4 linked regions of the Struthio camelus genome follow. The main gene of each other region encodes a partner of the protein of the gene in region 4 in a complex. Links are inferred from orthologs where the notes say so. Each region holds a gene or a part of one and is shown on either strand. Other genes may lie near its edges.

Region 1 (7,301 bases), on a different chromosome or scaffold from region 4:
TAGATAGGATTTGAGAGAGAATAACTCAATTTTCTGTTTGGAATTTTTTCTGAGTGGTTTGCTCCAGATTCTGGTATCCCCAGGGACCGCTTTGCAGGGTACAACCAGCAGATACCATCAAGTGCAGCAGAAGCACAGCTTAGCTGCAGCTTTATACTAACCTACACACAACTTGGCAGTGGTTCATGCACAAGTGGTGGTATACAAATCCTTCCTGCAAACTCCTCCAGAATAGACAGGAATGAATTTGAGACAGCTGTAGGCCTATGTTCTTTGGGATCAAAGCAAAATGTCCTTTTCGGCTATATCAATATGAAGTGCGGCTATATCAATATGAAGTGTGCAACACACTGGCCATATAAATTTTTGCTGTGTCAATCAAGAAAAGTTGCTTTCAGCAAACCCATACCATCAGGGTTTCCAACTGCCAAGGTTTACACCAGCTGATAAGAAATGACAAAAGATTTAAGTTCTAGTGGTAGGAAAATTAGTGCCCTACACCGCATACTGTGCAAGGCAAATATTTGTTACTCTTGTGCTTTCTTCCTCTTCTTTTTGCCTCAAAATAGGGGAAACGGCTGCACTCACAGTGATATTGCTGGTGTCAGTAAGAAACAAACCCAATGCTCCTCCTAAGCTTTCTCCTCCGTTATAGCGCACACTACTCTGCCTCTCTACCTTTGCCTGTAAACAACAAAAAGCAAGAGAGTCACAGCACAGACGGATTGATTCAAAGTACACCCTTAAAACCCCTACATATTACTTACTCCATCTCATAGACAGTAACCGGTAACGTCTGTTCCATCAAAGAAAATTTTTTAGTTTTCACGGGTTTAATAATAGGCTCTGAAAACAAGAGAAAGTACAACAAAAATTGTTATGAATGACCCTGAACAACAGTGTTCTCAGAAATGCTAATACTAAACGGGGATTTTTGAAGATAGAAACACAATTTTCAAGCTGAGAGATTCTTTTATCTTTTTATGGGAGAAACAAATGAGATGACTTAAACATATTTTCACATCTCTTTAAATAACCTTCTAGTGTCTGCCAATGTCTGCTCTTCAAAAGATAGTTTGTTTGGCATTTGCAGTAATCCAGAGTGCCAAAATCTGGACACTGCTAGACAAACAGGAAGAGTCTATGCATTTTAGAGGCTGTGAGGGTTTTTAAGAGGGATGTTAAAAGTCATGGGGAATGGGGAGAATGGAAGGGAGTAATATGTTCCCTTTTCCAAAGATCTGCTAAGAGACTTCTCCTCGCTCCACACCCAACTCACTGCTTTACACCACTTACCAGTGAGAGGCTGCGTATCTTCCTCTTGTACTATTGTTTCTACTTCAGGCCCATAGACCTCCTCAGCAGTGGGATAGTACTTCTTATCCTCATGCAGCACCACCTCCATCCCAGGGTGGTCCTCGTCATGGTCTCCCATATCATCATCCTCATCATCATCCTCGAGCTGCAACCAACACTCACGTTTAGCTGCTGCCATCCCCCAGGGCATCAAACTGCTTTATAACCCTCAGTCTCCCCAGAAAGTCTTATAGGCCTTGGCATCATACAATAAAAAAAAGCCATAAGCCCACATACAGCCAAAGAGCCACCGATGATGACAACCCCGGCATATTGCAACCAACTGCAGCGCGATTTGCAGAAAAGATCTCCATAAGCAAGATGAATCTTCCCACCGCGGCACCATTCCTAAAAGCCACAGGCCACCTTTAAAACTACAGCATTTGCAGTGATGCCTGCACGGAGAGCAGCTCTTGTCCTTCATTCACAAACACAACAGACACCACTTTTTAGCTGTAGGAAGACTAGACTGGGAGGGGCTTCCTAGCTCCTCCAAACCTTTCACTGACATGGCACAGCAGAACGCCCCCTTCTGCTGTCCTTATAAACACTGCCCATATCTCTGCTCTGGTGTCCACAGTGTCTTACACTGTGCCCATCACTGGGGAATTGAGCTCCTTACAATACTGCCATAGCATTAGTGTATATTAAGAAAGGACTAAGAGGCAGCCTAAGGACCTTACTGAAAGGATCTGGATCTTCTGATTGAGTACAAAGTCAAATATGGCTTGAACTACCTAAGATTGTAACAGAGACTCAAGCAGAAACGGTATTTCTTTCTCTTTAACACACTAACAGGAATGCAGCTTTTGCTGGATTTTTTTTTTTTTAAATCAACTCTGTTACTATCATTAGGAATAAAATAGGATCAGAGTCCATCACCGAAGAAAGTTTTTTGCAGAACCAGGGCCTGGCAGGGAAAAGGAATTGCTGGCAGCTTGTGATGACCATGGGTTTGGCTGGGGGCTCAGTGCCTGCTCCGTGCGGCCCTTTTTGCACCCAGCATGAACAAGGCGAGTAATGGGCAGGACAGCGTGCATGCAAAGCTCCCCCCAGACTCCAAAGCTCAACCCATCCCCATCCCTCACCTCGTCCAGATCCTTGGACTCTCTGCCCAGCTCATCATCGTCATCATCAGAGTCCAGCTCCGGCCCGATGTAGTTCCCAAACTCGTCGTACAGGTCGGTGTCCATGCTGCAGGGTGGAGGGACAGGGACGCGGATCAGCGGGTGGGTGGTGATACTGCTGCGTGCACTGCCCTGCACTGACCCCATCCCCGGGACTGCCCCACACCGGGACCCCCGGCCCGCTATGGCCTGCACTGATGCCATCCCGGTTCTGCCCTGCATTAGGACCCCCGGCCTGTTACGGCCTGCACTGCCCCCCGTATCGGTTCTGCCCTGCACCGGGGCTCCTCGCCCGGTGCGGCCTGCCCCGCCCCGGATCCCCCCATCCTGCTCCGTGCCCCGGAGCCCGGCGAGGCCCGTGTCGCTCCCGGCCCTGCCCCGGGGCCGCCGGGCCGCCCGGCCCCGCTCACCCGCCGCGCGCTGCCCTCGCCGCCGGCGCCGCGCGCCACCAGGCCGCAAGGACCCCAGGCTGCCCGCGCCGCCTGACGGGACAGGCCCGCCGGCAGGGCCGCGGGGCCGAGGCGGGCGGTGCCGCGGGGGTCCTGGCGGGGTCTCGGCAGCCCCGGGCCGGGCCGGGCCGCCCGGCGCGGCGGGGCGGGCCGTTTCTGTCAGGCGCCGTCCGGGGCAGCCCCGAGTCGGGGCCTCGCCGCGCTGCCCTGTCGCCATGGCGACGCTAGGGGCGCCCGCGCGCCCGGTGGGGAGCCCGGTCCGTCGCGACAGTCGCGATAGGAGCGGGTGTGCCTGACGCCGGCGGTGCGCTCAGCCTGGTGGAGCTGTCGCGGTACGAGTGGGTATCCCTGAGGCTGGCCGCGTGCTCGTCTTGGTGGGGCTGTCGCGATAGCAGCAGGTGTCCCTGACGTCGGGGGTGCGCTCAGCCTAGTGGGGCTGTCGCGATATTAGCAGGAGTCCCTGCGGCCAGCAGTGTGCTCAGCCCGGCAGGGCTGGCGTGGCAGAAGCAGTCGTCCCCACAGTGGGCTGTGGGCTCAAACCAGCCCATCGTGCTTGTCACGATATGAGCGGTTGTCCCTGTGTCCCCTCAGCCCTCAGCCTCCTTCCTGGCGGGTGATTCCTCCCTCTCGGGGCCCCACCATCCCGCCCGCTGGCTGGACCCCTTCCCTGCACCCGTGTCGGGTGCCGCTTAGGCCCTGCCGCGGGTGCTGGCCCCCTGCCCAGGGGGCTGCTCCACCACCATCGCCTCGGCAGCCTGGGCCCACGCTCTCCGTTGCTCCTAGGTGCACAATGGAGGCAGACGGCGCGATCGACTTCAGCGCTCTGGAGAAAGAGCTGCGAGCAGCCGTGGCTGCCGACGAGAAGTATGAGAGGGAAAACAGCGCCAAGTTCCGGGCCGTGCACCAGAAAGTGGCATCTTACGAGGAGTTCAGGTCTGCCGAAAGCTGTCCTCGCAGTACAGAAGTCCTTCTTCAAGGGAAGTTTTGTTTTATTTCATGTCCTGCAGAGATCTGTTAACTTCCTCTGCTGTATTCCCTCGAGTTTAGAGGGATTAGGATTGAGCGGGTCAGTGTCACTTTTCTAACTCGCCAGTGCCCAGTGCTTGGCTCTCGATATTCCTGACACAGAGCCAGCACAACCCCATGAGTGATGGTGATTAATTCTGAGACCTCTTAGAGACAGGCCTAAGCTCACTATACACTAATGTGGTCACCCAACTGTTTTTGTCCTGACCTCCTTCCTCCCCTCAGGCTCTCTCAGCCCCACGCAGTGATGGCAGTACAGAGGGACAAGGTGATACATGGTCCCCAGCACCCCACTCAGGGTATTCTTGCTCCCAAAGTCATCATCACGCAGCCAGAGCTCTGAGCAGGGTTGAAACATGGTCCTGGGATGGCAGGCAAGCTCCTTGGAGGCAGGCAGCACAGAATGCTCCAATTGCCACCCCAACTGTAGCTGATCCCCACTGAGTTCTCGCCCACTGATATCCACAGCCAGATCTGTAGATGGATCCAGGAACTTGAGCACCCTTGATAGACTGATCCATGACTAGAGCAAATTGCATTCATGGTCTCACCTCCACATGCATTCAGTCATGCTATCAGATCTGTGAAAGGGAAGGAAAATTTTGAAATGGTATTTTCTCTTCTGTCTTCTGGTCCCTATAAAAGGGTTCCTGTGAACATGTTTCTATGCTGCAGAGTTCTATCAGTGTAGTATTCGTTGGTTAAAGTATAGGGAAAAAAAACCCTGCATTCCTACTCTGTCCACAAAATCTGCAATGCAGCTGTATTATTAAAGATAGAAGTAATCTGAGGGAGGTAACAGAACAGCTTCTATCTGTGGGTGCTGTGCCTTTACTAGAGAGGCTCACTAGCATAGTAGCAGGGACTGCTCAAAAGATCTCCTCCAGCTAATTATTGTGAGGCCTAACTAGAGACAGAGGTTCATCCCATGAAACAAAAGGAACCACATGAGGCATTGAGTCCGGGCTGGTGTGGTCATAGACATCAGTGTAATAAGACACTGAATTCAAATGAATCCACAAAAACATAACCAGTCCAGCACTCTGCAAACTACAAAACAATCCCTAGGCGCTGTAGAAAATTAGGACCTTTCCCGTGAAAGCCTAAAAGTGACAAAATCTTCAGTGTACCGTAAGAAAAGGGCAGGACAAAAGTGTCCTGCCATTTCTTTGGGCCCTGGCTCTGGCAAGGTAAAAATGTCAGAAATGCCCAGCTCCTGTTCCCCATGCTGGGGAGGTACCATCGTAGTGCTCTAGAGCAGTCCAGCCTCTGGGGAAATTCCTGCTTAGTTGATCCTGATGATTAGGTTAATACTGAGTATGTGAGCAAGATGTACCTGCCAGGTGCCCCATGCGATATCCTCTCTCTTCCTCTGATCCATCAATGATGCTTCATGATCTGATTTGAATCCAGATCTTGTTTGATATGTATCATGCCACAAACTCAGAAATTGCCAGCCTCACAGCAGGCACTGCAGAAGAGACTCAAAGCCTGGAAGCATTTGATCTTGCTAAATATCCCATTCCTCTTCTGTTGCCTGCAGGGATATCGTGCTGGCATCACACTTGAAGCCTCTAGAGAAAAAGGACAAAATGGGTAAGCAAAGAAACCTGCTGTGGAATCCTTGTGCAACCCACACTAAAGGAGAGCAAGTCAGCAACGTGGAAATAGCCCAGGTGAAGGAGACATTTTCTGGGACTTTGTCCACATCTAAAAATTACTCCGGAATAATGTGGGGTATTATTTTAAAGTGCAAGAGTTATTCAAAAATATTTCTACCTGGGAACAAGCCCTCAAAATCCCCAGAAATACTGGAATTAGATAACTTCAGGGTTCAGTCTTGGCCCCTATTTTGTGTCTGACAAGGACTTGCACCAGCTGCTTCAAGAAGAGGCTATTTCAACTGTTTGGCAATCTAGGACCAGCTGTACAGTGTCAGAGGAGAGCTCCCAATATCCCACCTCTGATACTGGCCAGTAACAGATTCTTGGGGAAGAGTGCCCTCCCTTGTCCATACTCTTCCAGCTGGCTGCAGTTTAGAGACTGAGAGCCAGTCTGTGCATGAGGATTGTCACATTTAATAGCCACAGATGATATATCTTCTGTGATATGGCCTGTCCCTTTTCACCTCACAGTGTAATTATGCATGCTGTGAAAAAGTACTATTTTGTTTGTTTTAAACCTACTTCCTGATGAGTTCCTGGGATGCTCCTTAGTTCTTCAGTTGTGGGAAATAGTAAATAAACATTTCCTGTCCCGGTCATTTGTGATTTAACTGACACCTGTCCTACCCCCTTCAGTGGACTCTGTCCAAGCTGAAAAGTCCTGGTCAGTTTAATGCTTTCTGATATAGAAAGCATTTTGTACCTCCAACCACCCTTGTTGCCCTTCTCTTTGCCAGTGCTAGCTTATTTTTGTGCAAAAGGGTAGGCAAACTGCAGGCAGTATTCAAGGTATGGGTACCCTGTGGATTTATACAATCACAAAGCAATCATTCTGTTTTATTTTCAGTTGCTTTCCTACTAACTCCCCACACTGGCTTTGCCAGTTTGACTGCTGCTGAGCATAAGCTGATGTTTTCAGAAGACTATCCATGATGACTTTTACTGGCCCAGTGACACAGTGACAGGGATAATTTCTTGCAGGATGGGAGCTGCAATAGAGTCTATCCCTGAACATGTAGCTAGAGATATTTCCCGTGGATGCTTCTCACAAGCATCTCATGAATTTTTTGACAGTGAATCTCATTTGCCTGTTATTATGAGATCCTTCTGCAACTCTTCCAGGCAGCTTTAGATTTGGCTGCACTGAACAGTGATCCTCCTAGAGGAAATTCTGTTCCTAATCTCATTAGTGCTTGGGCTCTGATCTCCAGGGCATCTACATTTTGTATTTAAACACAGCCTGTTATTGCTGTGGCTTGTTTTCACTAGCTGTATAAAAGCCTAAACATTTTAATCCTACTTCAATCTGCGCTTGAGTTAAGTTGGCAGTGATGAGTTCAGCAATCTGATTACATGTTGGATAAAAAAGACTTCCTTTTATCTGGAGATGCCACATTGAGCATGTCTCTTTCTTTTAGTCCAAGCACATTACCACAGGCCCGTAGGAATGCAGTATGTAAGGAAAGGGCGTGCTAGGGGCATCAGAACAGTTTCTGGGTTTTACATCCCATATCTTTTATCTCCTCGTCCCTTTGATTTGCTTCATGGTGCTTGAGATGGAGCAGAGGTTTTCACTAAGTACCACAATCTCCAGCAGATCCCTTCCTGAGCAGTGACAGTGGATCCAGGCTCAGCAGTTCATCTGAGTAGTTCTGACTAGGTTTAGGGTTACTCCACTA
Region 2 (7,949 bases), on a different chromosome or scaffold from region 4:
CCCCACTGCCTGTAAACCCAGTCCATTTTCAGCATTCCTCCAATGCCAACGCATGGCCTAGAGAAGTTTTGTTAAAAGCCTCTGGGTGTGGTCCCCTTACAATACTTTTTCCCTTTTGGTCTGCCTGAATAAGCTGGAACAAGGGTGAAAAGATGACTTCCAATTTCTTGATCAGTGCTGGAAATTTCTGATAACGTTTAGAGTAGAAAATGGAAAGGGAAGGAAACAATGAAGTATTAAAACTTGTGCATTTTTTTTATTTTTGTATCAACCAAAGACTAAAAATTGTTTCAAAAATATACAGCCCTCTAAATGTTGAAAGATGTCCCTGTTCTGCTGCTAGCTTATTTAAAATGAATCTTTAAAACAGTTAAACACAAAATATTTTGTTTTATTGTGGGCACTTCTAACCCACCCACCACTGAAACGATATGTTAGATCTATAGGAAATCTAATTACAAACCTCTCTGATTTGTTGCTTTTGCTATATACTTTCTTCTATCCTGCAACTTCTCCCTCGTTTCTTGGACTGTTTCAAATTCTGGAGCATAGCACACATGCAGCAAGCTACCAAAGAAACTTCGTTCGTCCATTTTTTTCTTGGCCACCCTGAAGGAAATTAAACTGTATTAGCAAAACCAAGACTAGCACTTCAACTGTCTGGAATCTTAACAGATTACAAACAACTAGGGTGTAAAAGAGTAAGAAGAAGGCAGATACTGCCCTATACGGTACCTTGCACATGGCAGTTTTTGGAATTTTATAAGATAAACCTCGGTAAACTGCTCTGCTGGATATTCATCTAGAGCATGATACTCATCAATGGCACCATATAATGCAAATTGTTCAACTAATTCCTTCATGACACCTAACGCAGGAACTCCTTGTATTAGTAAGTAACGAGATTCCAAGTTGATAGTGTAAACCTGAAAGAACAGAACACAGTATTTTAAAGTGTTTATATTCTTACTTTAGTGCAAAAGTAACAATTCCAGGAATTTCCTGTACGTTGTCTGTTGCTCCTCAAATCCTCTCAGAACACTGAAAATCCTCTGCGCTCTATTTAGATTTTGGCAGTAGCAGTAAGCCAGGACCTTAGCAAAAAGGTAAGTGCAGAGTTTTCTGGGACTTCTCCATCACTGAGAGGGACTGAACTCATTCCTGTTACTCAAAAGTAGAATGCAAATTAGAGTCGGCACTTTCTCCACCAGGTCATAAGTTTTATTCAGCAAACAGCAGTACTTCAAGTCCCTAGATTTCCTTGCAAGACTGAATCGTAGCCAATTAGTATGAGGCACTGTCAAAATAAAGAACAAATCCTGTAAAATCTTTACCGATCACAAGGCAGAGAGGCAAAGCAGGCAGAAAATACTTTGATCCCTTTGGGCACATCATGTGTGTACAGAGCTGCCTCTGCTGCAGTGATCAAACAAGATACATTTTTGAGAGACAGATACGTAAATCAGATGCTGAGAGCAGCAATGTTTTCCCTGGCAGGTTAGCAGAAATTCCTTTCTACTTTGCATAATGACTGTAGCAGAACAACACAGGAAGAAAAATCCAAGGGAAGCTCTGACAGCTCAGTCTACGTAGAGCAGGTTGGTTACTGTAAGATTTAAAAAATATACATGAATTCATTCAAAAACATTTAGACTGCATGAGATGCACATCCTTCTCAAAAGCCAGCAAATGCAGGACCAGAGGGAACCAGTCAGGAAATCAGCTCTCAAACCACCGTCATAAAAAGGTACCCTCTCCAAATAGCGTGCAAAAATTGTTCTCGTTGACAACAGCTTATTCCTAGCCGTTCTCCTTCCCAAGTCAGCCCTAAAACATACCTATACTGCACACAGTATGTTAACTACACACGCAAAAAGCAAATGCAGCCTTCTCCAGCCCAGTGTAATGAGAAATTTCAACTATAATGTGTGCCCTTCCCTGAATCTTACCAGGAGCAGATGCGTGTGACTACATAAATACAAGAACAGCCTTGTGCATCTAAGCCCTATTGAGTTCAATGACATTGCGTACCCAACTCTGTTAGCTAATAACTGCAGCATTCAGCTGCAGAAGTCTCTTTACACTCCACTTAATCATTTTTGTATTTTTATGTTTTGCCTAAGACTGGACTACTTGTGCCACATGCATTTCTAACCAATTAATTTACAAGGTACAGTTTTGAGGTTACTAGATTTACTGGACTCACATCCACCAGTTCCTGCTAGTGCCTACTGCTTTTGTGCATAAAAAGGAAACACGCTAAGGCTGCAAACCCTTCAGGGCAGGGGCTACTCATGCTGCACAGCTGTGCGCTCCAGGCACAGCGCAGGACACTGAACGAGCACGGCAGAGGGCCATCAGGATGCGGTAACTGCCAAAGTAGACGGTATGTCTCAAGAACTGGAAGTAAAGTTCTCCAAAGCTCAGCAAAGTTCCTGCTGACTTTGAAAGAGCCGCTTCCTCTCGGCCGACAGGTGAGAAGGCAGGCCGACTTCTGTCAGGGGAGCGCCTCACGCTACGCCCGCCTTCAACCCTACCGGAGCCGGCACACGATGCGCCGCAGCAACACGGCGGAGGAGACGAACCGCAGAAAAGCCCTGAACGGAGACAAGCACCAAGAAGCGACACAAGCACAGCCCGCGAGGTCGGGGCGCTCCTGCCGACGAGCTCACGGGACGCAGGCCCGCCCTCCCCCCACAGCAGCCGCGCCTGCAGCCGCGGCCGCCGCGCCGCGCCGCGCCGCACGGCCGGACCCGCCGGCGCAGCGCCCGCTCCGAGGCGGCCGCGGCCGCAGCCGCCCCGGGGGAGCGCGGACGGCCCGCTCGCACGGCCGGGCCCGCGGCCGCCTCACCTTCACGGCGCGCGGCCTCCGCCCCTCGCGGTACTTGGCGCGCGACTCGCAGGCCCCCAACTGCGCGTGATGCCGGCAAGCATCGCCCAGGGCGCTGCCGGCCGCCGCCATCTTCCCGTCGGTCACTGCGCCCCACGGAGGTCGCTCTAGCCGCTGCCCGAGAGAGTAGCCAATGAGGCAACGGACAGAACAACTGCCTTACTCTCATTGGCTCCGACTAGGTGGAGCTCGACGGCATACGGAAGCCAGACAGAACAAGCTGAAGCCCTCGATAGAGCAACCAATCAGAAAAAGGGAATGAGTATATGCCGCGCTCCCATTGGCTGGCCGTGGGTCATACTATTGCCCCGGGGGGGGGGGGAGGGATCTCGGGGAGGCCTAGGCTGCCCGCCCTCCTCACGGAGCGCTAGGGCGGAGCGGGCGCCCGGCGGCGGTGGCGCCCGGCTGCCCGCCCGCCAGGATGTGGGGCAGCGGCAACCCTGGGGGAGGCGGAGCTGGAGTCGCCGCGGTGACAGTGGTCCTCAGCGGGAGCCGGGACTGCTTCCTGCACCTGCCTCCCGTGCTGGCCTCTCACCTTCGCCTGCAGCAGGTACCGGCTAGGCTCCGCTCGGGGCCTGGGCGAAGGGACTCCTGGGGCGGGGAGGATTGTGGGAGAGCAACCTCTCCTCCCTCCCGGCATCCCGTTGCCATGGCGATACGCAGTCTCCCTCCCCCTCCCCCTCCCCCGGTCCCCATCACTGCTGACGTCACCTCTCCCCTACAAGCTGTGTTGTCGCCATGGTGACAAGGCGCGCGCGCGCCTCCCCCTTCCCCCAGGTGGTTGGAGCCCTTCCCGGAGAGGCAGCGGGAAGCCCCGCCCCCCCCCCCCCCCCCCGGCCTGCCGCTGCCCCAGCCCCAGCGCCGCCGGGGGCCGCCCGCGGCCTTCCCCGCCCCCCGCTGCCCGCGGGCTGTTGCTGCCCCCCTCGTACGGACAAGATCAGGGGTGTGGGAGGCAGTGTTTAAAGTCAGTCAGCCCTGTGGCTTCCCGTAGAAGCGCGTAACTTACGCTTCGTACCGCTGCCGTCCAGTCGGGCCGCTGCCTGCCGTCAGCGTGTCTGGACGGTTCACAGCGTCGTGCCAAGGTTTCTGACCGTGTTGTCATGCGTTCTCCTTGCTAAAACAAAAAAAGGTGGGACTTCGTTATCTCTGAACTTAGTCTTACACCACCTGCATGTTGTCATCTACTTTTCTCTCAGCACTGCCTATTTTTATACCTTTCTTTTGGCAGTAATCCATGCACCAGCATTAACTGAATAACATGTAAATTGGATCTTTCAAGTAGTAGCTAAGATGTTAAATCTGTGCAGAATCATAGTTCTTGGTGTACCTAAATATATGTTTTGCTGTGTAGTTCTGTACAGAAATACTTAATAGGGCTTTGGATGATAGGAGGTATGCGAATCAGTTGCAGGAAGCGTCCCTTATGTTTTTATTAACATCTCACACAGGAAAACACTAGCAAGGCCTGTGAGCATCCATTGTGCCAGGTAAAGAAGTCAATAATTTAAAAATTGTTAACAGAACAGATCACGTATGCAGAAAAAAGACACCATAAGAAGGAGCAGGAGAAAAGGAGAAAATCAGAATGGAGTTTGAGAATGGAGCAGGAACGTGCAATCCTCTTATACCTTCTGCAGACTGGAATGTGCTAACTTGACAAATAATCACATGGAGATTTATGGAATAGCCCATAACATCATGCTAATTTCCTGAGGTCAAGAAAGACGTATCACAACAGCAAAATTATCTAGATTTGTAAGAAGTTACTATTTTTCCTTCAGAGTGCTAAAAGAGAGATTAAAGGGGCATTGGTAAACTGTGGGGATGAACAGGTTCCTGTTACAAAAAATTCAGTGTAAATGTTAGCTTCGTTTTTGCTACAAATCTGCCTTCAGGAGATAGAAACAAGGAGTGCAATTTCTTTACAGTCTTACAGTTTCATCCTGTAGCTAGGGCTTACTTATTCGTATAGTAGTCTGAGCAAAGTCAGTATAACATTTTTTTAAAAATATTTTCCAACTCATGAAAGCACTCTTAGAGTCTGTACTGAATATATTAAAGTGCATGTGAAACTTAATCATATACGTATGTTTTTTTCCCCCCATATGAGAGATAAAAATGTGTAGTTATACATTTCTATGGGATATTTGGTTGGTAGATTATCATGCAGAAAAAGGGGAAGAAGATATACTTAAAATCGACTATAAAAATTGAAAGCTGTTTAAACATTGAAACCAACAAGAAATTCTGTGTTGGAAGCTGTGCAGATAGCTAACACGGAGAAGAATTCTGAGGAAAGTCTTGATGATGAAGTTGAGCAGTCCACCAGAGCCAAAAATTTTCCATTATCATTAATAGAAACACTATAAACATTGTGTATTACAGTTTTGGAATATTCATTAAAATTGGGCAGGTAAAATCCATAAATTATTTTGAATTTCTTTCAGCTCTCTAATCAAATATAAGCTTTAGTTTCAATAAGAGTCATTTTATTTAAGTTGTTTGATACTAATTTATTCTATTTCTCTGAAACTAATAGGGCCAAGCTGTGAAAGTTTCCGGCGGTCATCAGCCTATATTTTTGAGCTGGATGGAAATCAGGCATCGAGGTCACCAGGGTGAAAATATTGCAGAGATTAACAGACAATTAGCAGAGAAACTTGGCATTACCGATGGAGAACAGGTTTGAAATGCAATCTCGCGATCGCTCTCTCTTCCCCCCCCCCCGCCTTTTTTTTTTAAACATGGAATGTATAGCACAAGATCCCTGAAGAGATAATGGTTTACAAGCTAACTATCAACTGGCATCTTGTTTCGTGTGCACTCATCTCCAAGTTACTTTGTTAATATCTGTCTGATGGAAAAAGTTCACCTTCATGAAGCATGTCTCAACCATGAAAAGATTTGTTCATAAAATCATTACAATTACCTAAATGATGTAAGGATAGGCTTGTGGGTAGGTTTTTGCAGGGTTGGAGCCACTCTCTGCAGTGACGTTATTTTTAGGAAAACATAATTTGCAGTTAAATAAGTTGGGAATTCTTTCATTAAAATATTCTGCCTGGAGTTCCTGTCATTGTTAAATAATTATTGACTTGCTCTGTATTTCTTCTTATTTGACTTATATTGGATTTGAATTGTCACCCTCTTATTCTCCCTTCACCCTATAGCCCCATGTCCTCTTTCTTTGAATATTTATTTAAATTGGCCTACTGTTTTCTTACTCTTGGACAGTGTGTTCAACAACTTCTTTAAATGATTCTCTTAGTGTAGAGAAGTTGGATAGATGCCCAGGAGACAGCCAAAGATATGCGTCATGGGACTCTTAACATTTCAGCATCCAAGATTCTTTTATCTTAATAGGTGAAGAGTTAAATCAACAGGAGTAGAAAAGTACTGTTCTGCACGATATTACTGTGTCATATATTCATATATGCGTATTCTATTATGTAGAAAATCTTATTCAACAAAATAAACCACATCAGAGGACATGGCTTGAAGCAGTGTATTACATTAGCATGTTTACTTTTTTACTAGATTTACTAGTTCAGTGGCAAGGTAAGTGGCCTTTTCTGTTCTAACAATTAATAGCCTTCAACAGAAAAAAATAAATAAATCGACAAAAGAAGTTTGAGTAAAACCTTACGTAGCTGTTGTCGGGAAATAATCATCTATACATCATGAACGATTAAGTAGTTTCACCACCTTTTTGACCTCAAAGTACATGTTTGCTGTGTTTCATAGTTATATGCTCTTCTGTTTACCACATTTGGGAAAAGGTATTTCCTCACACCTTTTGCTTCAAACTTGAGGACCCACAGGAATTTAAAATCAATTATTTCAGATCAGTTTTTATAAAAGTAACAAATATGTCTCAGAGGACAGGTAACTAGAGATAGTTTTATCTCAGAAGAAGTTTATTTGAGTTTATTTAAAAATGTATGGCCTTATATTGTTTGAAAATTGTTATTTTCTGAAATAATGAACCTTTGGTAAAATTAACTCTTGAAATATATATTTAAGACTCTTGAAAAGATGTATTTTCCCTAAGCCACAACAGCTTCTATAATTCTTCCTGGTACACAGGACCTTAAAGCTGTTATGTGGAAGTGGGGATGCTTCCTGTGAACCCACTCATTGAAGAACTTGGTTTGGTTTCATTGTGTGTGTGTTTTTTGCTGTTGTTATTGTTTTGTATTTTTTCCTCTTCCATTTCTTCAGCTATTTCTGCCTTATGTAAATTTGTGCACAATTGGATGAATTTTCCTAGAGTGCGGAACCTTTTTTTAAAAAATAATAAAAATCCAAAGAAGCTTGTGTGATCAAAATGCTTTAAAATGGATTGTTTTATATCAGCTGATACAGTTCCTGATGCACTTCTCATTCACTTATGTTCATGGTGCATCAAAGCGCCAAGCATACCCAATGCAATCCATTTCCAATGCACTGAAATTTCATCTTCTGCTAATAAGCTTAGCTAGTGCCATTAAGATAGCGTATATTCAGAGTAATGAAAGCATAACGGAGATGTCTGTTGTCTGGCTGAATTAAAGATGGATTTTTATTTATTAAAAGCAAGGAGTTAAATACTTCAAAATGGTTTTACATTTGTCAGGTATTCCTTGAACCCTGTTCTCATGTCTCTTCCTGTCAGCAAGTAGAAGTGGAACCACTCTCAGCAGATGATTGGGAAATACTGGTAAGAAAACTCTTTTTGTTTTTCACGTCCTCTTCCTTACAGATGACAAAGATGTCAGGTATATGTAGTTTTCAGCACAATCGCTGTCCTTTACCTCCCCGAAGGAAGCAATAAATGTGGTGGGTTTTTCATAGTATTTTGTCTTTCAGATGGTATATTAGAAAGAGACATAGAGTTTTTATCCTCAAACAAATCTTAAATATTTATGAAGGATTTTATTTCTAATGATAGTAAATTTTCATAGGAACTGCACGCCTCCTCTCTTGAAAAACACCTTCTTGACCAAATTCGAATAGTATTTCCAAAAGCCATCTTCCCTGTATGGGTTGAACAGCATACTCACGTTTACATCAGAATTGG
Region 3 (7,524 bases), on a different chromosome or scaffold from region 4:
GCAAAGGCTTCATGTTCGGTCCCAAGAACTTAAGGAGAAAAAAAAAAAAAAAAAGGTGAAAGGGGGGGAAAAAAAAAATCAGACAAGGGTCAAGAAGAAGTATAAGAAGGAGGAATTTGAAACAAAGGATGACTGCAAGAAGCTGGAAACACGAGTACTGTTAAATAAAAGAAATGAAGAATCCAAGCCTAAACCTGGGTAGGAATCACAACGCACTAGAAAGGATATATCTCTCATAAATGGTACGCGCCCTGTCCACCTCCTTGTATCTCAGCTCGAAGTTAATATAGGAATGCCAAGCTTGCTCCTCTGGTTGCCACTCCATCCAACGTTCAAACACCTGACGTGCTCCAGCAACATTCCCCAACATCTCTTCCATGTAAGTATACTTATACCTTAGAAAATAAGATCAAGTGTTTACAATCACTTAGTAAATGCTTAAAAGTACAATGACTTTTTTTGAGTGTTCAGTAAGAGCATTACTGAGATTTCTCCACCTGTTCACCACTTGCCCTCCAGAAGTGCCTATACTGTTGTGATTGGCAGCACGCAGATACACAAACATCCTTCTTCCACTACTGTTAACCACTTGAAAAGTACAAAAACTTTCTAAAACTTAAGCCTTTCCATTTTTGGGGATTAACTTGAAGAACTGCAGAAACAGAGAACACAATGCACTCTTGCATTATGCCTAAACAGAAAAATGAAACATGCTCTTTGAGAGTTAAAGCAATGCTTTACTCTCTGAAAACATACCAGAACTGGTTGACCCTGGGGAGGGTAGTAATGGCTCGATCCCAAATGTTGCGGGCGTGATTAACCTGGCGGTTCTTCATTTCCATTTCTGCATATTTCAGCCAGAGAGTGACATTTCTGTAGTCTACGTCTAAAGCACGTTCGTAAATGGAACGAGCTCTGGAAAGTAAAGAGACATTGTTGAAGTATGTTGAGAACATAACGTGCCTCTAAGACTTTCATGGTATTTGTCAGCATGCATCTAAAAAAGTTTAAAAGAGATGCCTGCAGCTACAGCATAATTACCTTTGTATTTCTTTTAGGCTTTCCTCCCATTGTGCGTACTTTATCCAGTTACTGATAACAGTTCTGTTTTTTCTTATGTTATCTTCAAAAGTCTGAGGAGAAAGTTATTTCTGTAAGTAGGAAATACCTCTGTGCAGAATGATCTTGTTGTAAACCCTTTACAGAATATTATTATAACTGGACTACGTTCCAAATATTATATCTATGCAGATGTTGAAACAAGTCATACTCAGTAAAACATTTTCCAAAAATTGAGTGACAGAGCAGCTAGAAGCATAAATCATCATTTAGATAAGGACTAAACTCAAGTTCCTGCAACTTAATACATAAAATACCGGCAGAATATTAACAGATAGCACTCAAATCTTTTCCTTTTTCAACCTCAATCTCCTGGTTAGCTATTCAATAGCAACGTTAACTGGACGTACAGAATCCAGTCACTGCAGACAACACTGAATGTATTCATATGTGTCAGCAAGAGTTTGCTCCCTTCGACCCATTTGTATCATTGTGCGCTCTCGTTCTCTCTTTTTTGTTTGTTTGTATTTTTACAGCAAGATGCATTATGATTATTCTTTCGATTTAAATATTCTGGTGCCAAACGTGCGAGACAAATTTCACAGCTTGGTGCAATGGTGAGGGCCTCTTCAGCGCTGTGGACTACTATCAAGAACGCTGCTATTGCTGTTTAACATATAGCTAAATATGGTTTAACACACACAGTTAACATGTGGTGTTTTGTTACTGCTCTTCACATGAGGGATGAGAAAAATGTAACATCAAAAACTGTTTTGGAGCGCTGTGGTGTTGATCATCTAACTCCAGTTGCCTTGTATGTGCCTGAGCAAAATGACATCACCATCTGGCACTATAAAGCCCTAAATTTTCATTAGGGCTCTTAAACATCTTGCTTAAATTAAAAAAAATTAACGTTTTAGTGCGTTATATGAGCAGCAACGTAAGGGATTTTTTTTGCCTTTACCTTCCTTTTGCGAAGTTTATAGTCATTTAGCTCCTCCTCATCTGTGATCTTCTGTTGAGGAGGTGGTGGAAGAAGTTCAAGCTCTCTCTCTTTTGCTTCTCTTAAAAGCTGTTCTGCTGTGATCTGAACTTCTGCAGGTGCTTTATTTTTCACCTGTAAAGTAAGGGAGGAGTTAACTTAAAATTTTCCATGTTAATGCAAAACTGAAACATCCCATCATGAGTAATTTAATCCAGGGACTTACTACGTTCAGTATTTACCAAAGCAGGATATGGGGCCCGACTGAGAAATAACAGGGTCTTAACGTGTATATTAGCCCAAAGCTACGTTGCTTCTGTCTGCAGCACGAAAAACAAGGAAAACTTTCTTGAAGTCATGGTGGGGCCACTCGGCGTGAGCCGCCGTGCTGCGACGACGACGACGGGCGGGCCCGGACGGCAGACGCGGCCGTTGCTGCCTCAAACGCCGTCTCGGCACGGCCGAGCCCAGCGCGCCTTCACCGCGGAAATTACGGGGATCGGTGCCGACTCTGGCGCTGGGGGGCGGGGAAGCGCTCGGAGCGCCGCCTGCCCCTGCCCGGCCAGACCGGGCGGCTGCCCCGGTCCCGGGTGGCTCCCCTGGCCAGACCGGGCGGCTGCCCCGGTCCCGGGTGGCTCCCCTGCCCTCCCCACCGCCGGGGCCGAGCGCCCGGTCGCACCTTCGCCACTTTCGGAATCCGCTGCTTCCCGGCCGCCGTAGACGCCATCTTGCCGCCTCTGCGCGCTGGCCCCGGCCCCGTTACCTCTGACCTCACGCAGCGCCAGCGCGCGCCGTTGCCGCGGCAACAGCGGCGTCGCGTCCTAACGGCCGCTCTGCGCGCGGGAGAAGCTGCCGCCGGGGAGGACAGCGAGCGCACGTTTCTCGCTCCGCCGGTCCCCAGCTTCCCTCGGCCGCACCGCTCTGGGAGCGCCACGAAGCGGGGGTCCCTCCGTCGCAGCCGGGTGAAGGTGAGCGCCCAGCGCGGCTGGGGGAGACGGGGTGCACCCCCACCACCCTAGCCCCGAACTACGCTTCCCAGCGCCCCTTGCGCGGCCAGGCTCCCAGCATGCTCCTGGCGGCGCGGCGCCCCCTGGGGGCCCCTAGGCATTACATGAGGCACGGGGTAGCCGCCGGGGCGGGCGTGTGCGGGGGGGGGGGGGGGGTGATGGAGCTGAAGTGCTAAAGTTGGGTGTTTGGTTGACTTTGATTTTATTCTGCCCCTAGAGTCTGTTTCAGTTTCTGAATTTGTGTAGATCCTTTCAGGGGCTACGTTGGGAGCCTCAAAGCTCTGCTCCTGACTTAAGGGCTGTTGCCAAATGCCTGAGATTAAAATGAATGATGGCTGTAAGAATGATCAAAATTCTTATTTATTGCATAGCAAAGTCTGTGCTGATGATGCATGGTCCAAGACATGTCAATATTCGTAAACAAAGCCATAAAAACCCATCGTGTCCTGTCCTGATTTTCCGTGCTGCTTTCGCTTGCTCATTAGTCAAGAGTGCTTAGCTCAGCTCTTAGACCTAGCAGCCTTCTTTCAGGGCATCTAAGCTTTACAATTTGGGTCTGGTTTTGTTCCTCTAAGCCTTTCAGGGATGGGACTGGTCAACATCCTTCATCCCTGTTGCCAGAGGAAGCCATTAATTCTTTCTTGGCCTGGTTCAGTATGGTTTGTATGTGCCATCTGCCATGGGTCTGAGCAATCAGGAGATGTCCTGTGGAAGTCTTGTGAGAGACATGCTTATGACACATTTGGTGTGCTTTGAGTCACTAACAGAATAGTTATCACTTGGGAATCCCCCCTGGGCTTAAAAGAGAATGTGTTAATTAATTAATTAATTAATGAGCTGGAGAGGAAATTATTACAAGAACTGGTTCAGAAAAGGAACAATTCTTTATCTGCTTGTTTTGCCAATTTTTCCAGCTATTGTATGCTGTTCTAATACAACTACATGAGTTATTATAGGAACAGTACATTTTGTTTTTATAAAAACAGTACATTTTTAAGGTATAAATGTTGCTTTCTGTCAGACATAATTGCACTAGTGTTTGAGGGGAGGTGGGCTGGTATTTTTCAATGTATGAAGCTAAACAACTAAATATGGAAATTTGGCCAGCTGCACTTTCCTCAGCTGAAGTAATCTTAATGCTGAAGTTAAATTTGTGAACAACATATAAAAATTCCTGTTTGCTTTGATTTATGGAGATGAAATTAATAAAAAATAACCGACTATTTAGATAGTCTCACAGTTTAAAGTTACATAATTAAATGTATAAGTGAATTATGTTAATTTTGTGTCTACTCATTTTAGGAACCATCCTTCACTTAGCCTTCATGTAATTGCTTCCACTCCACTGGAAATAATATACCTGTCTTACAACTTAAGACATTGGAGAAATTGCCTATGCAAGCTAGTATCTTTTTTTTTTTTTGGTAGATGTTATTGTCATGCTCCATATTAAGTAAGTATATTCGAATCTAAGCTGGATGAATGAGGCAGTTGAAGGGTAGTGACTCTAGCTATTTCTACACCAAGAGTTAAAAAGGGAGAATATCTATGATGCTTCTGTGTGCAGAGGAAAATGTTTCACTTACCAGACAGCTGGGAGACAGAAATTTCCCCTCTAGTCTTTAGAGGGAAAGTTCATGAGATTCATCTTTCTGCTCGGTACAAGAATGGTAGTTGTATGTTCCTCGGTATACCAACCGAAATTGGATTCTTTCTGCATAACAACAATTCCGTCCACTAAGCCCGTGCATTAAAACCTGCTGGAGACATTTACCTTCAGGTTGGTGCCAGGGCCTTTCTACAAACATAAATTTGCATGACTGGGACCGGTAGTATTACATACAATAATATCTTGACTATAGGTGAAAGATGTAGCAGTACACATGACTTTGTATATAAAAAGGATAAGATTCAGGATTTCCTTCATTATCTCATTTTAGCTGGGATTTGTAGAGCACAACTGGGTGATTGGCATCATATCTGTGTTTGGAGCCAATGTTGGAAATGGCTGTTATATTTGGTAGATTGGGAAAAGAGTTCTGCCAGTCTAGATATGTTAGCTATATTGACTTTTTCCTTTTTTTTTGAATTAGCAATGCTGTTTTACACATATATGTTGAAGGAATTGCAGTAAATGACTGTATTTGGTCCATTTCTGTATTTTTGCCTGCTTAATTTTTATTTCTGTTACAACGGGATATAACGCGTCCATACAGTATTGAGTGGCAACAAAGTTGAAAGATAAGTGAACTGTTAGTTGATAGTCACAGATGGGCTGACTGCCTATTGCCCTGTCTGTTGCAAAATTGATAGACATCTTAACAAATCACTTGGGACCTGACAAATTGTGCAAATGTGGAATCACACAAATGTTTTCCTTCTGGGCAGGGAAGCTATAGCGCTCTCAGTTCCTTCTGAAGATTAACCATCATTGTTGACTTAAAAAAGAAGTTCGAGGAGCTGTTTTGGACAAAATGCGCTTGGCTCAGTTGAGGTTACTTTTTAATATTATTATGTTGTTATTATTCTGATCACTTGAGCTGATCCTGCCAACCCTATAGACTGAAAACTATTAAGAATTTGAAATGACTAACAATGAGTACTGTTCTAATAAGTAGCCTGTGAATACCTTTAAATAAATAATAGATGCAAAAGTTTGTAGTCCATTAAAAAGACTTCTCTGTAGCATACAGAATATGTACAGTAGGTATGACTGCCTACTGTATTTCCACATGTGCACTGTATGCACACCATATCTAAGCATGCAGGGAGTAGTCATGTATATGTGCAGAGGCCTGCAGGAATTAGGCATTTAAATCCTGTTGCAGTCTTCCCAGTCTTTTAAAAAATTCCATTTCAAGTAACTACGTTCAACAGCAAGTTGCTGCAGGATCTGCTAGAACAGCAATGTTTTCTTTCTTTTCGTTACAGTCCATAAAATGACTGCAATAACTTCTTCGAGAGGAAATGCAGAAGTGGTCAGTATCAGAAGGACAGAATCACATGATATTCCTGATATTATCAACCTCATCAGCAATTCTACAGAAAAAGTTTTTGGAAGGATTAATGTCACATATCTTTTGTAAGTAACTATTTAGGGATGTTATATTACCGTTCTTGTAGGAAACTTCAAGAAACTGTGTTCTGCTTAAAAGAGCAGATAAACATTATGAGCCTTAACACGGTATAGCATAGTGACTTTTTATGCAATTCATCAAAGGGAAAGAAAATTTGCTTCCATCTCCTTTCTGCCACAAATGTGCATGACTGTGCCGCGTTGGAGCACTGTAGTGAATATAATGATCAGAATTTGACTATATACTACCCTGCTTTTTATAAAAGTTCGGAAGAAATACTTCTGAATATTACCTGATGAAACCGTTAGATTCCAATGTCTGCGGTCTTTTTCATCTAATTGAAGCCTTTTGTCAATTGGAGAGTATTTGAAATAGAGCGGCAGGGATTAGGGGTTTTGATCACTGTGTGGCCATGACCCTTCTATTCTCTTTGCTTGTTTATGTCTAAACATTTTCCTTCTCTGCCAGTTTCCCCTTAAGGAAAGGAGTTGTTAGGGATTTTTTTGCCTCTTCTGTTCTGCCTTAGGAGACAAGCTCTCTCCATCTGCTATAAAGTGCATGTTTCAATGTACCTCTTCCTTTGTTTCCTACCACTGAGATACTTAATATCCCCCATGTTAGAACATCTGTAGCCTAGTTTCTTGCCTGGCAAAACCATTAGCAAAAGCAGGTAGTTGTGGAAGCCTTCTGCTACAATATCTGCAGTGCTGGAGACTTTCTCTTCTGTGCGGTGATGTATAGCACACAGAGGCAGAGCGCGTGAAATGCTAGTGGGTCATTTCAAGTTTTTTTTTTTTTTTGCGCTTGTCTTTAAAGGTAAATAGATACTAAGTATTTGGGAAAAATAGAATTACGAGGAAAGATCCAAAGAAGAAGGAACGTTTAACTCTCGCATGCCAAGTATGAAGTAATTGAGGGTTACAAAAATTGTTTGAATTGTTATAATTTCAGGAACCACTAAGTCAGGACTTGGGTAATGAAGTTTTATTGAGTCCTGAACATCTGAGCTCTTTTGAATGTGGTTGATTTTACAGTTCTGACAGGCTGAATTATATGCTCAGTGCTGCTACGCATGCTAGTTAAGCTGAGTACATGCAAGTGCAAGGCTGGAGTCTGGAGAACTTGAAAACAGAGAGAAAGATGTCTAAAGAGAAAGAGGGTCTAAAATCTAGTGAGCTTTATTTTCCCTCTTTCCAACTGATAATTTATTGAGGGGGGAAACAAGGAAAAAATTGAAGAGGAGGAGAAAATAACATGAAACTTGCTTTATAAAGGGTTCTCCTTCTCTACAGAGATGTCAGTGAAAGACAAAGAAGATTCTTCTTCATTTAGTGCATCTTAAACAAACAGGTAGTGACATCAGAGGCAGATGCAAAGGGACAGATCGTGCGTATGTGTA
Region 4 (7,840 bases):
GCACCCCAGGGTCCTCCATGCTCCCCATGGTACCCATCGCCCCCCATGGGGCACCCCAGGGCCCTCCCCTGCCACCAGAGCACCCACCGTCACTCTGCCCCCCAATGAGGCACCCCAGAGCCCCCCCAACCCCCACAGCACTTGTCACTCCCCCAATGGGGCACCCCAGAGCCCCCTCTGCCACCTACAGCGCCCGCTGCCCCCAATGGGGCACCCCAGGGCCCTCCCGGCCCCCCACAGCCCCCCAGAGCCCCCCATGGGGCACCCCAGAGTCCCCCCTGCTCCCCATGGCACCTATCGCCCCCCATGGGGCACCCCAGAGCCCCCCCTGCTCCCCACAGCACCCACCGCCCCCCATGGGGCACCCCAGAGCCCCCCCTGCCCCCCACAGCACCCGCCACCCCCCACAGGGCACCCCAGGGCCCTACCTGCCCCGGCAGCGGGGGCTGCGCCGCCTTGTCGCCCTCCTCTGCCCGGAGCACAGGGCGGCTCAGCACGATGCCTGTCTGTGGGGTGCAAAATGGGGGGGGGGGGAACGTGGTGATGGGGTGTCCGATTTGGGGACCCTGCCTCGGGGGAGGGTGTAGGGACCCCCCCCCACCCTGAGGGGACACAGGGACTGCACTCCAGATGGTGGGAGGGGATGTGGAGCAGGGATCCCAGCTGGGGGGGGATATTGGAACATGGGGGACCCCCACCCGGGGGGACGCTGGGACACGGCAGCACCCACGTGGGGGACGAGGAGGGGCTGACCCCCCCCGAGGGTGCCCCGGCGCAGGGCCACCCGCGGGTGCCGGGGCGGCTCACCTGCAGGGTGTAGGTCTGCAGCCGCTCCACCAGCTCCTCCCGGCTGCCTGTGGGGCACCCGTCGGTCAGGGACCCCCAATACCCCCGGAGGGACCCCAATTCCCCCCCACCCCAAAACCTGCTCTCAAATGCCCCCCCCCACCCAAATCCCCCTGCCAGTGTCCCCAAATACCTCCATCCCTGTCCCCAAATGCCCTTCCGAGTCTCCCCCAAATACCCCCACGGCCTGTCCCCAACTCCCCTCGTCCCTGCCCCAAATACTCCTACAACTCCCCCCAAATACCCCCATGGCCTGTCCCCAACCCCCCCCCCCGTCCCTGTCCCCAAATACTCCTCCAACTCCCCCCAAATACCCCCATGGCCTGTCCCCAACCCTCCCCTCGTCCCTGCCCCAAATACTCCTACAACTCCCCCCAAATACCCCCACGGCCTGTCCCCAACTCCCCTCGTCCCTGCCCCAAATACTCCTACAACTCCCCCCAAATACCCCCACGGCCTGTCCCCAACCCTCCCCTCGTCCCTGCCCCAAATACTCCTACAACTCCCCCCAAATACCCCCACGGCCTGTCCCCAACCCTCCCCTCGTCCCTGTCCCCAAATACTCCTACAACTCCCCCCAAATACCCCCACGGCCTGCCCCCAACCCTCCCCTCGTCCCTGCCCCAAATACTCCTACAACTCCCCCCAAATACCCCACGGCCTGTCCCCAACCCCCCCCTTGTCCCTGTCCCCAAATACTCCTACAACTCCCCCCCAAAACCCCCACGGCCTGCCCCCAACCCTCCCCTCGTCCCTGTCCCAAATACTCCTCCAACTCCCCCCAAATACCCCCACGGCCTGTCCCCAACCCTCCCCTCGTCCCTGCCCCAAATACTCCTACAACTCCCCCCAAATACCCCCACGGCCTGTCCCCAACCCTCCCCTCGTCCCTGCCCCAAATACTCCTACAACTCCCCCCAAATACCCCACGGCCTGTCCCCAACTCCCCTCGTCCCTGCCCCAAATACTCCTACAACTCCCCCCAAATACCCCACGGCCTGTCCCCAACTCCCCTCGTCCCTGCCCCAAATACTCCTACAACTCCCCCCAAATACCCCCACGGCCTGTCCCCAACCCCCCCCCTTGTCCCTGCCCCAAATACTCCTACAACTCCCCCCAAATACCCCCATGGCCTGTCCCCAACCCTCCCCTCGTCCCTGCCCCAAATACTCCTCCAACTCCCCCCCAAAACCCCCACGGCCTGTCCCCAACCCCCCCCTTGTCCCTGCCCCAAATACTCCTACAACTCCCCCCAAATACCCCACGGCCTGTCCCCAACTCCCCTCGTCCCTGCCCCAAATACTCCTACAACTCCCCCCAAATACCCCCATCCCTGTCCCCAACCCTCCCCTCGTCCCTGCCCCAAATACTCCTACAACTCCCCCCAAACACCCCCATCCCTGTCCCCAAACACCCCCATCCCCATCCCTATCCCCCCCGCGGCCTGTCCCCAAATACTCTAAATCCTGCCCCCCCGAACCCCCCCCAGCCCCCAAACACCCCCATCCCCAACCCCCCCTCAAGGCCTGCCCCCACCAGCCCCCAAACGCCCCCCGGCCTGTCCCCAAATACTCTAAATCCTGCCCCCCCGACCCCCCCCAGCCCCCAAACACCCCCATCCCCAACCCCCCCTCAAGGCCTGCCCCCCCCAGCCCCCAAACGCCCCCCGGCCTGTCCCCAAATACTCTAAATCCTGCCCCCCCGACCCCCCCCCAGGCCCCAAACACCCCCATCCCTGTCCCCAAACACCCCCATCCCCAACCCCCCCTCAAGGCCTGCCCCCACCAGCCCCCAAACGCCCCCCGGCCTGTCCCCAAATACTCTAAATCCTGCCCCCCCGACCCCCCCCAGCCCCCAAACACCCCCATCCCCAACCCCCCCTCAAGGCCTGCCCCCCCCAGCCCCCAAACGCCCCCCCGGCCTGCCCCCAAATACCCTCAACTCTGACCCCCAGACCCCCCCGGCCCCCGCCCCGCCCCGGCGGACCCTGCGCGGGGGCGCCGATGTCGGCCAGCGTGGCCTGCAGCTCGGCGGGGGCCCAGGCGGCGTAGGGCGCCGGCGGCGGCGGTGGCGGCGGCAACTCCCCCGCGCCGGGGCCCGCGGCCGCCTCCGGCCGCTCCGTCGCCATCTTCCTTCCCGCGCCCGCCGCCCCCTCCCGCCGCGCACGCGCCAGGCGACCTGCCGACCTGGCGTCATGGCGTCATGGCGTCATGACGGCGGCGACCGCGCGCTGCCTGCTGGGAATTGTAGTCCCCGGCGCGGGAAGGCGGGTGGGACCCAGGCGGCCGAGCCGGCCCTGAGGTAACGGCCGGGCACCCGGGGGGGGGGGGGGCAGGACGCCTGGGCCCCGGGGGGAGGAGGGGTCCCCGGACGCCTGGGCCCGGGCACGATGACTCAGCACGCCGTGGGAACGCGTGTGCGGGGCAGTGCCGTGTTGGTGGGGTGTGCTGGGGGTGTGTGTGCGGGGGGCGGTGCCCTGTCGGTGGGGTGTGCTGGGGGTGTGTGTGGGGCGGTGCCCTGTCGGTGGGGTGTGCTGGGGGTGTGTGTGTGGGGCAGTGCCCTGTCGGTGGGGTGTGCTGGGGGTGTGTGCCGGGCGGTGCCCTGTCGGTGGGGTGTGCTGGGGGTGTGCGGGGTAGTGCCCTGTCGGTGGGGTGTGCTGGGGGTGTGTGTGTGGGGCGGTGCCCTGTCGGTGGGGTGTGCTGGGGGTGTGTGTGGGGCGGTGCCCTGTCGGTGGGGTGTGCTGGGGGTCTGTGTGTGCGGGGCGGTGCCCTGTCGGTGGGGTGTGCTGGGGGTGTGTGTGCGGGGCGGTGCCCTGTCGGTGGGGTGTGCTGGGGGTGTGTGTGGGGCGGTGCCCTGTCGGTGGGGTGTGCTGGGGGTGTGTGTGTGGGGCAGTGCCCTGTCGGTGGGGTGTGCTGGGGGTGTGTGTGTGGGGCGGTGCCCTGTCGGTGGGGTGTGCTGGGGGTGTGTGTGGGGCGGTGCCCTGTCGGTGGGGTGTGCTAGGGGTGTGTGTGCGGGGCGGTGCCCTGTCGGTGGGGTGTGCTGGGTGTGTGTGCGGGGCGGTGCCCTGTCGGTGGGGTGTGCTGGGGGTCTGTGTGTGCGGGGCGGTGCCCTGTCGGTGGGGTGTGCTGGGGGTCTGTGTGTGCGGGGCGGTGCCCTGTCGGTGGGGTGTGCTGGGGGTGTGTGTGCGGGGCGGTGCCCTGTCGGTGGGGTGTGCTGGGTGTGTGTGCGGGGCGGTGCCCTGTCGGTGGGGTGTGCTGGGGGTGTGTGTGCGGGGCGGTGCCCTGTCGGTGGGGTGTGCTGGGGGTGTGTGTGCTGGGCGGTGCCCTGTCGGTGGGGTGTGCTGGGGGTGTGTGTGCGGGGCGGTGCCCTGTCGGTGGGGTGTGCTGGGGGTGTGTGTGCGGGGCGGTGCCCTGTCGGTGGGGTGTGCTGGGGGTGTGTGCGGGGCGGTGCCCTGTCGGTGGGGTGTGCTGGGGGTGTGTGTGTGCGGGGCGGTGCCCTGTCGGTGGGGTGTGCTGGGGGTGTGTGCGGGGCGGTGCCCTGTCGGTGGGGTGTGCTGGGGGTGTGTGTGTGCGGGGCGGTGCCCTGTCGGTGGGGTGTGCTGGGGGTGTGTGCGGGGCGGTGCCCTGTCGGTGGGGTGTGCTGGGGGTGTGTGTGTGCGGGACGGTGCCCTGTCGGTGGGGTGTGCTGGGGGTGTGTGTGTGCGGGGCGGTGCCCTGTCGGTGGGGTGTGCTGGGGGTGTGTGTGGGGCGGTGCCCTGTCGGTGGGGTGTGCTGGGGGTGTGTGTGTGGGGCGGTGCCCTGTCGGTGGGGTGTGCTGGGGGTGTGTGTGGGGCGGTGCCCTGTCGGTGGGGTGTGCTGGGGGTCTGTGTGTGCGGGGCGGTGCCCTGTCGGTGGGGTGTGCTGGGGGTGTGTGTGCGGGGCGGTGCCCTGTCGGTGGGGTGTGCTGGGGGTGTGTGTGGGGCGGTGCCCTGTCGGTGGGGTGTGCTGGGGGTGTGTGTGTGGGGCAGTGCCCTGTCGGTGGGGTGTGCTGGGGGTGTGTGTGTGGGGCGGTGCCCTGTCGGTGGGGTGTGCTGGGGGTGTGTGTGGGGCGGTGCCCTGTCGGTGGGGTGTGCTAGGGGTGTGTGTGCGGGGCGGTGCCCTGTCGGTGGGGTGTGCTGGGTGTGTGTGCGGGGCGGTGCCCTGTCGGTGGGGTGTGCTGGGGGTCTGTGTGTGCGGGGCGGTGCCCTGTCGGTGGGGTGTGCTGGGGGTCTGTGTGTGCGGGGCGGTGCCCTGTCGGTGGGGTGTGCTGGGGGTGTGTGTGCGGGGCGGTGCCCTGTCGGTGGGGTGTGCTGGGTGTGTGTGCGGGGCGGTGCCCTGTCGGTGGGGTGTGCTGGGGGTGTGTGCTGGGCGGTGCCCTGTCGGTGGGGTGTGCTGGGGGTGTGTGTGTGCGGGGCGGTGCCCTGTCGGTGGGGTGTGCTGGGGGTGTGTGCGGGGCGGTGCCCTGTCGGTGGGGTGTGCTGGGGGGGTGTGCGGGGCGGTGCCCTGTCGGTGGGGTGTGCTGGGGGTGTGTGTGCGGGGCGGTGCCCTGTCGGTGGGGTGTGCTGGGGGTGTGTGTGCGGGGCGGTGCCCTGTCGGTGGGGTGTGCTGGGGGTGTGTGCGGGGCGGTGCCCTGTCGGTGGGGTGTGCTGGGGGTGTGTGTGCGGGGCGGTGCCCTGTCGGTGGGGTGTGCTGGGGGTGTGTGTGCGGGGCGGTGCCCTGTCGGTGGGGTGTGCTGGGGGTGTGTGTGGGGCGGTGCCCTGTCGGTGGGGTGTGCTGGGGGTGTGTGTGCGGGGCGGTGCCCTGTCGGTGGGGTGTGCTGGGGGTGTGTGCGGGGCGGTGCCCTGTCGGTGGGGTGTGCTGGGGGTGTGTGTGTGCGGGGCGGTGCCCTGTCGGTGGGGTGTGCTGGGGGTGTGTGCGGGGCGGTGCCCTGTCGGTGGGGTGTGCTGGGGGTGTGTGTGTGCGGGACGGTGCCCTGTCGGTGGGGTGTGCTGGGGGTGTGTGTGTGCGGGGCGGTGCCCTGTCGGTGGGGTGTGCTGGGGGTGTGTGTGGGGCGGTGCCCTGTCGGTGGGGTGTGCTGGGGGTGTGTGTGCGGGGCGGTGCCCTGTCGGTGGGGTGTGCTGGGGGGTGTGTGTGCGGGGCGGTGCCCTGTCGGTGGGGTGTGCTGGGGGTGTGTGCGGGGCGGTGCCCTGTCGGTGGGGTGTGCTGGGGGTGTGTGTGTGCGGGGCGGTGCCGTGTCGGTGGGGTGTGCTGGGTGTGTGTGTGCGGGGCGGTGCCCTGTTGGTGGGGTGTGCTGGGTGTGTATGGGGCAGTGCCCTGTCAGTGGGGTGTGCTGGGGGTGTGTGTGTGCGGGGCGGTGCCCTGTCGGTGGGGTGTGCTGGGGGTGTGTGTGTGCGGGGCGGTGCCCTGTCGGTGGGGTGTGCTGGGGGTGTGTGCGGGGCGGTGCCCTGTCGGTGGGGTGTGCTGGGGGTGTGTGCGGGGCGGTGCCCTGTCGGTGGGGTGTGCTGGGGGTGTGTGTGCGGGGCGGTGCCCTGTCGGTGGGGTGTGCTGGGGGTGTGTGCTGGGCGGTGCCCTGTCGGTGGGGTGTGCTGGGGGTCTGTGTGTGCCGGGCGGTGCCCTGTCGGTGGGGTGTGCTGGGGGTGTGCGGGGTAGTGCCCTGTCGGTGGGGTGTGCTGGGGGTGTGTGTGCGGGGCGATGCCCTGTCGGTGGGGTGTGCTGGGGGTGTGTGCGGGGCGGTGCCCTGTCGGTGGGGTGTGCTGGGTGTGTGTGTGCGGGGCGGTGCCCTGTCGGTGGGGTGTGCTGGGTGTGTGTGCTGGGCGGTGCCCTGTCGGTGGGGTGTGCTGGGGGTGTGTGTGCGGGGCGGTGCCCTGTCGGTGGGGTGTGCTGGGGGTGTGTGCGGGGCGGTGCCCTGTCGGTGGGGTGTGCTGGGGGTGTGTGTGTGCGGGGCGGTGCCCTGTCGGTGGGGTGTGCTGGGGGTGTGTGCGGGGCGGTGCCCTGTCGGTGGGGTGTGCTGGGGGTGTGTGTGTGCGGGACGGTGCCCTGTCGGTGGGGTGTGCTGGGGGTGTGTGTGTGCGGGGCGGTGCCCTGTCGGTGGGGTGTGCTGGGGGTGTGTGTGGGGCGGTGCCCTGTCGGTGGGGTGTGCTGGGGGTGTGTGTGTGGGGCGGTGCCCTGTCGGTGGGGTGTGCTGGGGGTGTGTGCGCGGGGCGGTGCCCTGTCGGTGGGGTGTGCTGGGGGTGTGTGTGTGGGGCGGTGCCCTGTCGGTGGGGTGTGCTGGGGGTGTGTGTGCGGGGCGGTGCCCTGTCGGTGGGGTGTGCTGGGGGTGTGTGTGTGCGGGGCGGTGCCCTGTCGGTGGGGTGTGCTGGGGGTGTGTGCTGGGCGGTGCCCTGTCGGTGGGGTGTGCTGGGGGTCTGTGTGTGCCGGGCGGTGCCCTGTCGGTGGGGTGTGCTGGGGGTGTGCGGGGTAGTGCCCTGTCGGTGGGGTGTGCTGGGGGTGTGTGTGCGGGGCGATGCCCTGTCGGTGGGGTGTGCTGGGGGTGTGTGCGGGGCGGTGCCCTGTCGGTGGGGTGTGCTGGGTGTGTGTGTGCGGGGCGGTGCCCTGTCGGTGGGGTGTGCTGGGTGTGTGTGCTGGGCGGTGCCCTGTCGGTGGGGTGTGCTGGGGGTGTGTGTGCGGGGCGGTGCCCTGTCGGTGGGGTGTGCTGGGGGTGTGTGCGGGGCGGTGCCCTGTCGGTGGGGTGTGCTGGGGGTGTGTGTGTGCGGGGCGGTGCCCTGTCGGTGGGGTGTGCTGGGGGTGTGTGCGGGGCGGTGCCCTGTCGGTGGGGTGTGCTGGGGGTGTGTGTGTGCGGGACGGTGCCCTGTCGGTGGGGTGTGCTGGGGGTGTGTGTGTGCGGGGCGGTGCCCTGTCGGTGGGGTGTGCTGGGGGTGTGTGTGGGGCGGTGCCCTGTCGGTGGGGTGTGCTGGGGGTGTGTGTGTGGGGCGGTGCCC

Evidence for each region.
Region 1: SF3B2 (region 4) and EFTUD2 share a complex: the UniProt entries of both Homo sapiens proteins name them as parts of the minor spliceosome. The link is inferred for Struthio camelus from reciprocal best matches to the Homo sapiens genes SF3B2 and EFTUD2.
Region 2: SF3B2 (region 4) and RBM48 share a complex: the UniProt entries of both Homo sapiens proteins name them as parts of the minor spliceosome. The link is inferred for Struthio camelus from reciprocal best matches to the Homo sapiens genes SF3B2 and RBM48.
Region 3: SF3B2 (region 4) and CRNKL1 share a complex: the UniProt entries of both Homo sapiens proteins name them as parts of the minor spliceosome. The link is inferred for Struthio camelus from reciprocal best matches to the Homo sapiens genes SF3B2 and CRNKL1.

What each region holds. Positions count from the first base shown.
Region 1 is NC_090966.1:727,009-734,309, reverse strand, and holds the start of EFTUD2 (116 kDa U5 small nuclear ribonucleoprotein component), read right to left. Parts: upstream 3,001-7,301; 5' UTR 2,894-3,000; exon of another isoform or gene 2,822-2,893; intron 2,551-2,821; 5' UTR 2,550-2,550; coding exon 2,445-2,549; intron 1,463-2,444; coding exon 1,297-1,462; intron 847-1,296; coding exon 768-846; intron 1-767. Other genes in the region: CCDC103 (coiled-coil domain-containing protein 103), read left to right, coding at 3,723-3,865, 5,502-5,634. UniProt on the Homo sapiens protein: Required for pre-mRNA splicing as component of the spliceosome, including pre-catalytic, catalytic and post-catalytic spliceosomal complexes. Component of the U5 snRNP and the U4/U6-U5 tri-snRNP complex, a building block of the spliceosome.
Region 2 is NC_090943.1:27,304,212-27,312,160, reverse strand, and holds the start of RBM48 (RNA-binding protein 48), read right to left. Parts: upstream 3,001-7,949; 5' UTR 2,963-3,000; coding exon 2,852-2,962; intron 1,492-2,851; exon of another isoform or gene 1,373-1,491; intron 927-1,372; coding exon 736-926; intron 610-735; coding exon 464-609; intron 1-463. Other genes in the region: peroxisomal ATPase PEX1, read left to right, coding at 3,312-3,440, 5,430-5,573, 7,506-7,589, 7,834-7,948. UniProt on the Homo sapiens protein: As a component of the minor spliceosome, involved in the splicing of U12-type introns in pre-mRNAs.
Region 3 is NC_090944.1:145,285,267-145,292,790, forward strand, and holds the start of CRNKL1 (crooked neck-like protein 1), read right to left. Parts: upstream 3,001-7,524; 5' UTR 2,769-3,000; coding exon 2,721-2,768; intron 2,177-2,720; coding exon 2,024-2,176; intron 1,134-2,023; coding exon 1,042-1,133; intron 916-1,041; coding exon 757-915; intron 396-756; coding exon 229-395; intron 1-228. Other genes in the region: CFAP61 (cilia- and flagella-associated protein 61), read left to right, coding at 4,477-4,501, 5,980-6,130. UniProt on the Homo sapiens protein: Involved in pre-mRNA splicing process. As a component of the minor spliceosome, involved in the splicing of U12-type introns in pre-mRNAs.
Region 4 is NC_090976.1:1,017,543-1,025,382, reverse strand, and holds the start of SF3B2 (splicing factor 3B subunit 2), read right to left. Parts: upstream 3,001-7,840; 5' UTR 2,975-3,000; coding exon 2,833-2,974; intron 855-2,832; coding exon 808-854; intron 507-807; coding exon 429-506; intron 1-428. UniProt on the Homo sapiens protein: Component of the 17S U2 SnRNP complex of the spliceosome, a large ribonucleoprotein complex that removes introns from transcribed pre-mRNAs.